2 linked regions of the Canis lupus familiaris genome follow. The protein of the gene in region 1 interacts with the protein of each later gene in a biochemical or structural test. Links are inferred from orthologs where the notes say so. Each region holds a gene or a part of one and is shown on either strand. Other genes may lie near its edges.

The links. The genes of interacting proteins can lie anywhere in the genome.
Region 2: the proteins of TNFRSF13B (region 1) and TNFSF13 form a complex in vitro, tested with the Homo sapiens proteins (2 studies listed by BioGRID and IntAct). The link is inferred for Canis lupus familiaris from reciprocal best matches to the Homo sapiens genes TNFRSF13B and TNFSF13.

Annotation. Positions count from the first base shown.
Region 1 is NC_049226.1:42,679,855-42,683,956, reverse strand, and holds part of TNFRSF13B (tumor necrosis factor receptor superfamily member 13B), read right to left. Parts: intron 994-4,102; coding exon 856-993; intron 1-855. UniProt on the Homo sapiens protein: Receptor for TNFSF13/APRIL and TNFSF13B/TALL1/BAFF/BLYS that binds both ligands with similar high affinity. Mediates calcineurin-dependent activation of NF-AT, as well as activation of NF-kappa-B and AP-1.
Region 2 is NC_049226.1:32,689,675-32,694,078, reverse strand, and holds TNFSF13 (tumor necrosis factor ligand superfamily member 13), read right to left. Parts: upstream 2,655-4,404; 5' UTR 2,630-2,654; coding exon 2,372-2,629; intron 2,026-2,371; coding exon 1,947-2,025; intron 1,806-1,946; coding exon 1,758-1,805; intron 1,614-1,757; coding exon 1,495-1,613; intron 1,281-1,494; coding exon 1,142-1,280; intron 918-1,141; coding exon 808-917; 3' UTR 587-807; downstream 1-586. Other genes in the region: TNFSF12 (tumor necrosis factor ligand superfamily member 12), read right to left, coding at 4,256-4,404. UniProt on the Homo sapiens protein: Cytokine that binds to TNFRSF13B/TACI and to TNFRSF17/BCMA. Plays a role in the regulation of tumor cell growth. May be involved in monocyte/macrophage-mediated immunological processes.

The DNA of each region.
Region 1 (4,102 bases):
AACTCCACTCAATCAGTATTGATGAATCACTCACTATGTGTCAGGCATTGTGCAAGATTCAAATAAGGAAAGGAACTTGCGGTCCAAAGGGTCAAGACAGACATGAAACAAATGCACACAAAAGAACGTTACGCAAATCATGGGAAGTTCCATCAAGGAAAAGAATAAGTTATGAAAAAAGAACAGTAGACAAAATATCTTTTTCAAGACAATCAGAGAAAATTGGATATAGCCTGAATACAGAGGGTGTTAAGGAATTATTGCCGGGGATGATAAGAGATAAAGGTTGTATTTTGAAGGCTCTTCATGATCTAGTATTTACAGGTAAAATTATATGAATTCTTGGATTTACTTTACACTATACCAGCAAAAAAATGGTTGGGGAATAAAACAGCAGATTTTTAAAGCTGATGATTGGCAGAAATGGATTTATTATGCTATCCTTTCTGCAATAATTCCTATAATAAAAAATTTCAAAAGAAAGTCAGAACAGAGGAAAACAAAGGAGGGCCTCATTTCTATTGGACAGGTAGGTAAGACTTCTGACATTTGGCCTCAGACCTGAAGGTTGAGTAAGAGGGAGCTGAGGGAAGAATAACAGGGAAATGCATTCCAAGCATAGGGTACAACATGTGCAAAGGCCCTGAGGCAGAAAAAAAACCCCACAGCATGTTCAAGAAACTGCAAGGAGGCTAGTGTAGCCAGAGCAGAAAGATTGAGGGGTAAAGAGGTGCCATGTTCTACATCTCCTTCTACCATCTCCTTCTCAGCCACCCAAGCGCAATAGGGCCTGGGGGACCTCTAGAGGGAAGGAAGGGGTGATCCAGCCCATGGGGCTCAGGCCCCAGAACTCACTGCAGAATGCTGCACAGGTACGAGGAATCTGATGGCTGCAGATGGGTTTGCAAGAGAGGCACATGTTCAGCAGGGGATCCCAGTACTGTTCTTCAGGGCAGGGCTCCATGGCCATCCCCATCCGCAGGCCCTGTGGAGCTGAGAGGCAGGGAGCATGAGGGCAGCTGGCACCCTGCTACGGGTCAGAACACAGATAGCCTCTCCCACTCACATTCTACTTTGTCTCAGCAAGCAGAGGAGGAACCGGACAAAGCTAGCTTCCAACCCCAGCTGCATCTGCTGGGGGCCTGGGGCAGCCACCTCATTCCCTCGAGCCTCAGTTTCTGTATTTGTGAAATGGCTGTTCGAGGCTCCCTCTCTCAGATTACCTGTGCCCTGCTCAGCCCTGTTCTTTGCCTACTGTGGTTCTTTCTACCACAGTACCTTTGCATAAAATGCTCTTCTTCCCTGCCCTTCTGCTGGCTATTTTCTCCTGATCCTTTAGATCACTGTTTCAATTTCATTTCCTCAGAAAAGCCTGATTCTCTTTCCCAGATTAAGACACACCACTTCTTCTGTGCAGTGATGTGTCCTTCACTTGTCACCGCTTTCACTTCACTTTTATAACTGTGACTATTGGATGCTGTCTCCCCCATTATCTGTGAGCATCATGCAGGCAAGTACTCTAATTTTTTTGTTCACTGCTGGGTCCTCAGAACCTAGATAGTGCCCAGGACATAGTAGGTGCTCATTAAGTGAAGAAAAAGAAAAGCATATCTAGCCAGTGGCTAGCGTACAGAAAGCATTCAATAAATGTCCTTTTCTTCCATTTTTTCTTTTTTACTGAAGTACGAGACACACTCAATGATGTGTGTAAAGTGCACAAATCTGAAGTATGCAGCTTGATGTATTTTTCCATATGTATATACCTGTGTCACTACAGCCCACATCAAGGTATAAGGTATAGATATTTTTTGCACCCTGAAGACTCCCTTGGGTCTCCTCCCCATCCAATACTTCCAGAGGTAACTTGTACTCTGATTTTTATCACTGTCGGTTGTTACTATTGCCCATTCTTGAACCTTTGTGTCCTGTTTTGTTGGCGCCACAAGATATCTGAAACACATCTCAGTTGAGGCTCCATCAGTCATTTGTTTTGTATGCTAAGTCTTCCTTTATATGAATGCATCACTTTTTCTATAATTTTCTGCCTGATTTCATGATACTTGCTTCACCAAAAATGTTTCCTTTGTTTTTTTTTTTAAAGTTTAACTTCATGTGACGGAAGTTTTTAATTTTTCAATTTTTAAAAAATATTTTATTTATTTATTTATTCATGAGAGACACAGAGAGAGATTGAGAGACACAGACACAGGCAGAGGGAGAAGCAGGCTCCATACAGGGAGCCCAACGTGGGACTAGATCCTGGGTCTCTAAGATCACACCTTGGGCTGAAGTCGGCGCTAAACCGCTGAGCCACCCAGGCTGCCCAGTTTTTCAATATTTTAATGGATTTATTTATTTATTTGAGAGAGCAAGTGAGCAAGAGAACACAAGTGGGGGAGAGGGAGAAGCAGGCCCCCCGTTGATCAGGGAGGACAAAGAGCCAGATATCAGGACCCTGAGATTGTACCCTGAGCTGAAGGCAGATGCTTAATTGACTAAGCCACCCAGGCATACCCCCAAATGTCTCCTTTTAAACATTTTGCAAGGTGCTTGCTTACTCTTCATTGAAAGTAAGCTGGGAGAAGACCAGTGGCTCCTGGTTTAATGTAGCAGCTTAAACACATGGACTTATCTTTCTTCCCTCCTGAAACCCTACTAAAAGGAGAAGAAAAGATACCTGTCCTCAAAGAGAAAGAGAATGGAAAAAAGTTATTGCAGCAGGGGACAGGTGTGAGCAATACTTTGGAATATGGAAGGCATGTGACCTGGGATGACTGACTTTAGTTAAAGGTCTCAGGGACAAGGAAGCTGATTTGAGCCACAGAACTCCAGGAAGTCTCTGGAATTGGAGGTACCAAGTTTAATGACAGTGGGGAATGGCAAGGCAAGACAATGGAAGAAAGACTGGTTGGAAATTTATACAAAGAGGGCCTGACCCCAGGTAAATCCCATCCCAAGCATGTAATGGCCTCTGGAAAAACCAAGCAAAAGTTTGGGGGTCTTCTGAGACACAGCTGAGGGTAGCCATAAGGTCCACTCTCCCCAAAACACAACCTGAGGAGTGCTGTGGCCAGGTTTTTAAGAATGTCTCCTTCCCCATCCTGCAGCCAGCAGGAAATCAGCAGATTCTGAGAAAACTGATCCAAAGGAAGAGGCCTAAAGGCACTGACTGGGAGATTCTCTCAAGAAAATGATCAAGTTTGCTCCTTGACCATCTGACAGCAAAGCTGCTTTATTAACGGCCCTGTTTGTTTACCCAGAACTTCCAATCAGCTCTTTCTGCCTCAGTCTGAGCTGTGAATCAAGAGCCACCTGATCTGAAAGAGAACTCAAACAAAACAAGCAGAAAGAACATACTGGGAGCCAAGAGAGACAATAGGGAGAGAAAAGACATGAAAATTATGGAATTATTTCAAGAGGTTCAAAGGTTGAACTAATGGGAATTCTAGAGAAAACAGATTTCAAAGACATAGCTTCCAGATTCAAAGAGCCAGTCAGATGTCTGATATAATAAAATCTCAAGCCATGACCCATCATCATAGAATTTAGGGGAACCAGAAATTAAGAGCAGATTCTAAAATCTTTTTTGACAATAAGCAGGTTATCCACAGAGTTTTGTGAGGACGTCAATGGACATCTCAAATCAAAACTGGGATGTGAGAGCAATGTCCAGGAAGATGGTAGAGTAGAAGCTCTAGTAATCTGCTTTTCCACCTAACAGCTATCAAGCTGGCAGCAACCATCTTGAAGTAACTGTTTTGGAACTCTGAACTTATCCAGGAAAGAGCTGGATGAAGAGACTGGTGAATTTTTGAAATTTTGGTGCATTTCAGCCTATTTCATGGTGGTGGCTACCATTCCTCACGTATGCAGTGGCGGGGGGTGGGGTGGGGCAGAGTTGCTCATATTGCTGGTCCCCTAGATGGGCAATAAGGACCTTGTTCTACAAATATTGAGATTGTAGATTCTGACTGCTGTTTGCTGCTCTTAGATCAGTGAGGGGCTAGCACACAGGTTGGTGGCCATTGTTTCAACTGCCAACAGCTGAAGTGACTTCCAGGGGACTTAAAGGGGCAGCACTCTCCTCCACTCTTGGGAGCTA
Region 2 (4,404 bases), about 10 Mb from region 1:
GGCGCAGGCGGGGTGGGGGGAGGGCAGCGAGGGCACTGGAAGCCGTTTATTCTCTTTTATTGAAGTCTAAGCGGGTCTTGAGCGGAAAGAAGAGCCCAGAGGAGTGAAGGCAGGCCAACCCTAGGGCGCACGCTTGACCCACGCTCCCCGGCCGCCCAGCCCAGCCCACAGGGGCCCCCACGCCGGCGGGCGGACAGCACGAAAGGCAAAACTTGGCACCACCCGAGGGAGGAGTGTGGCTGCACGGGGAGCGTCGTCGTCGGGCGCCTAACAAGCACCCCCTCCCCCGGAGATCGTGGTGGAAACCGGGGCGCCCCACAGCCGGGGAGGGGAGTGGGGGGTGAGGCTGCTTGTGCGGCGAGGAGGCAGCGGGTACCTGGGGACAGGTGTGGCCTGGGGAGCCACGAGTCTTTCCGAGTGGAGGGAGGCTGCGTGGACGTCTGCCAGCAGGCAGGCGGACTCTCCCAGGCTGCCGCTAGGTGGTGGTGCTGTTCTGGAAGCCTTCCAGTGGGACCCAAAGTGGGTCTAGACACGGCCTGGCATTGCCCGCCGCCACCCCTACCTCCCCCAAGAATATGGGGCTGGATGGGGGACAAAAGCAAGATGTTACACCTCTTTAATATCCGTGAAAGCGAAGTCTAGAAGGTGAGGGCGCGATGAGGCAAAGGGAGGAAGGGAGATGGATGAGCCGTCCAACCCAGGGTTGAGGTCAAACCCAGAAGAGGCCTCTGCTCCTGTTAGCTCGTGGCTGTGTCCAGTATTACCCACCCTCGTCTTCCGAGCTCAAAACCACCATCCGTATCATAATCACAGTTTCACAAACCCCAGGAAGGTTCCATGCGGAGAGAGGCTAAGTTTCGCCCTTCCCCGGGGGATTGTGACACTCAGAATATCGCCCTGGTGCAGGTGGAAGACACCTGAGAAACGGGAGAAGATACACACTAGGTGAAGCACAGTCCTGCGGTGGACCCTCTGGTGCCTCCCCTCCCTTCTCCAGCTCAGCCTTCCTCCTGCTTCCTGGCCAGCATCCCCCAGATCCACCTCTGCACCGGGCTTCCAGGCCCCGCTCCCCCTGGCCTGGTGGCCTGGTCATTAACCCCCCTGGGGTCAGAGCCGCCCTCTGTGCCCACAGGCCTCTCACCCGCACTGTAGCAGCTATTGTAGGCCCAGTCGGGGTTGGAGGGCATGCTTCGGATACATCGGAAGAGAGTCTCCTGCCTTCCCTGGCCCTCCCGAGACACCACCTGACCCATGGTGAAAGTCACATCATGAAACAGGACCTGGCAGGGAATGGAGGAGAAGCTGAAGGAAGTGAGAAAGTAGGGCTCAGTACTGGGAGGCTCGGGAGCCTGGACAGGGGAGCCAAGGAATGAAGGAGGGTCTTCCAAGTGCTGTGAACAGAGGGTTTGGGAACCCTCAGGACCAGGGCATCCAAGTCCTGGGAGAACAGACCTCCTGGCCCCCAGGCAAGGCTTAGGGTATGTGTGGGATTACCTGGCTATACAGCAGATAAATTCCAGAGTCCCAGACTCGAACAACATATCCTTGGGCCTCCAGACCTCTCCCACGCTTAAGAGCCGGTTGCCACATCACCTCTGTCACATCAGAGTCCTCTGGAGGTGAGGAGTGTGGCAGTCAGGAGTTGTGCACGTTCTCAGAGACTTTTCACCTCCAGGATTCTCTCAAGCTCAGGTGCCAGCTCCAAAGTTCCCCGACCTGGCCCCTCCCCCAAAGCCATTATTTAAAACAGTGCTCACCCTTGGAGGTGATATTGATGGGGACAAGGTGCAGAACCGAGTGCTTCTCTGAGGAGAGAAGGAGGAGATCTAAGCAGCCCCGTCCCCCTGTGATCAGCCCTCCACCCTCACCCTGGCTCAGGGCAACAATCTCGAGGTCCCCATGCTGCTTGATCACCTCCCACCCCTGCTGCACCCCGGAGGCCTCACTCTTCTGTTTATGGATGAGTGCAGCTCTCTTTCTCCGGGATCTCTCCCCATTCTCCCAGGCTTCCAGGGCATCAGGGCTCTGCTCATGGGAAGAGGGTCAGGGTTAGGCTAAGAAGCAAGGGCCCCCAACAGTTCTTCCTCCCGGCCGCCCCTCCACGCCCACCCCTGCCCCCGCCCCAGGAGCGCCTCACATCACTCCTGCACTTTTCCCCAGCGACCTGAGTCTTGGCGCTGGCTGTCCTCCAGGATCTGGTAGACATGAGAAGCATTAATCTTTAACAATTTCCTTTCCTGGAATGGCTGCTCCCTTGACCTCCAAACCTGGGACCCTCTCTTGCACCTACTCAAAACTTTACAGACCGGGAGGCTAGACCCAAGAGGCCCCGACCCAGCCCTGCCACCCATCCTCAGCTCCCCTCACTCACCTGCTCCTGGAGGCTCAGCCATGGATACCCTTCCTCCTTCTCAGAGGGCCCTCCAGTCCTCTGCAGCCGAGCCACCTCTCTCCTTAGATTTTGCAGCTCTGTTTGTTGGGTCAGCAGGGCCATGGCACAAGCCACGGCCCCCAGAGCTGCCCCCCAACTCAACCAGAGGGCGACTGAGAGTGCCGGCTCTCGGACTGGGCCCCCCATGTCTCCTGGGGGCCCTTTGGGGGCTAGCAAGGAAGGAGATGAGGCTGGCATGAGCTGGGGACCCTGCCGAAGGCTGTGGCCTCAGGAGTGGGGTGGCGAGGAGGTGGTGGGAAGGGTGGGGGTACAGAAGGGAAGAGGAGCGTTACGCAAGGGAGGAATAAAAAGGAACTTGAGAATGAAAAAAGGGAGGAGGAGAGCCAGCAAGGGGCACTGTTGGTGCTCCTGGCACCCCGCCGTGGGGCCAGTGTTGTGTTGAGACGCCCCCTCCTCCAGCGTCAGGAGAACTCGGTGTCAGTCTCTCTAGGAAGGACAGGACTGCCAGTGACACCCAGGAGGAGCGGCCGGAGCATAGGAATCCTGGGACGGCCCCAGAAGTGGGGGAGGGAAGGTTGGCTGGCTACGGGGCATGGTGCCAAGAGCAGGGATGGAGGGACAAGCTGGGCAGCCTTGGGGGTCACGGGTGAGGGCGGGAGACCCTCTGGCTCAGACACCCCAGAGATCCTCGGACAAGTCGGCCAGGAATGACTGAAGGTGGAAAAGGAGAGGAGGGGGGCAGATGGGAAGGAGAACCAGGGTCGCGGAAGCAAGAGACGGGCTGAGTTCTGGGGTTAAGGCCAGGCCGGGTGTGTTGGAATAAGGCCTGTACTACTCCCTGTGCTGAACTTGGCAAGCAGGACTTCCTGTTTCCCGAGAAAAGCTCTTACATAAGGCTCTGGTCAGAGAGAGAAAGAGAAAGCCCCAAGCACCCTACCACTGTAGGATTCCTGCCCTGGCCCCTGGGGTGCAGGTTCTCATATTCCTGGGCCCCAGCGTCCTGCCGACTGACCCTGGGCTCCCCTTGGGGCCTGCTCCCACCCCACAGGCCGCCAGGCTTATGCCAGCACCTGCTGAATGTCCCGAAGCTGCCAAGAGGAAGGGCTCCTGCTCCTCCCAGCCTGGGATTACCTGCAGGAGGAAGCCGGCCTCCTAGGTAAATGAGGTAGCTGCTGCTGGACCTTGGGCAGATTGATTTTTTTTTCCTGGCAGCTTGCCTTTTCAGTCTCTGCTCATGCCTCAGGGGTCAGAGGCATGTGGGTCTCCACTCCTGGGCCTGTACCTTGCCCTGGCATCCTGCACTCCACTCCTAGGTACCCAGGCCCCCTTCCCATGGAGCCCCCAGCTCCTCTGAGCGATGTTCCCCACACCCCAGTAAAGAGAGAGACTGTGGTTTATTCTCTTTAATATCCACTTATTGACATCTTGTCACAATAATAATAAAAATAATATCTGTTTTAAAAATCCACAGGGAAGGAGCTCATCCTGTTCTCAGCCCTCGCGTATGGGAACTCCCGGCCTCCGTGTCCCAGTCGCCCTGGCGTCTAGCCCTGATTAGTGCCTGAAGTGGGGGGAGGTTAGGGACCCATTCTCACCCAGAATAGACACAGTGTCCTTTGGCTGGTGTTGGGGGGGAGGGGGGGTGGCGGGGGTTGGCCAAGAGTTAGGAAGTCAGGAGATAAATGGGGGCTTCAAAAGACCAGGGGTTCAGGGGCCAGTGAGGTGGAGGATGGGGGTGTCAGAGGGGAAGAGGATTATGTATGTGGCACGGAAACAGGTGAACAAGTCCAAGCAGCCTGCAGAGGGCAGGCAGGTCAGGGCAGGGGGTGGGGGGAGCTGCAGTGGGGGCGCCCCCAGGGCGCCTCAGTTAACCTGGAAGAGTCCGAAGTAGGTAAGGAAGGGGGCGGCCTTGAGATGGGCCCAGGGGAGGGTGCGGATCCGCAGGGAGGACCCGGGCCGGAGGGGCAACAGCCCAGACACTTGGCAGAGGCGGAGCTGGGGGCCCAGGCTGC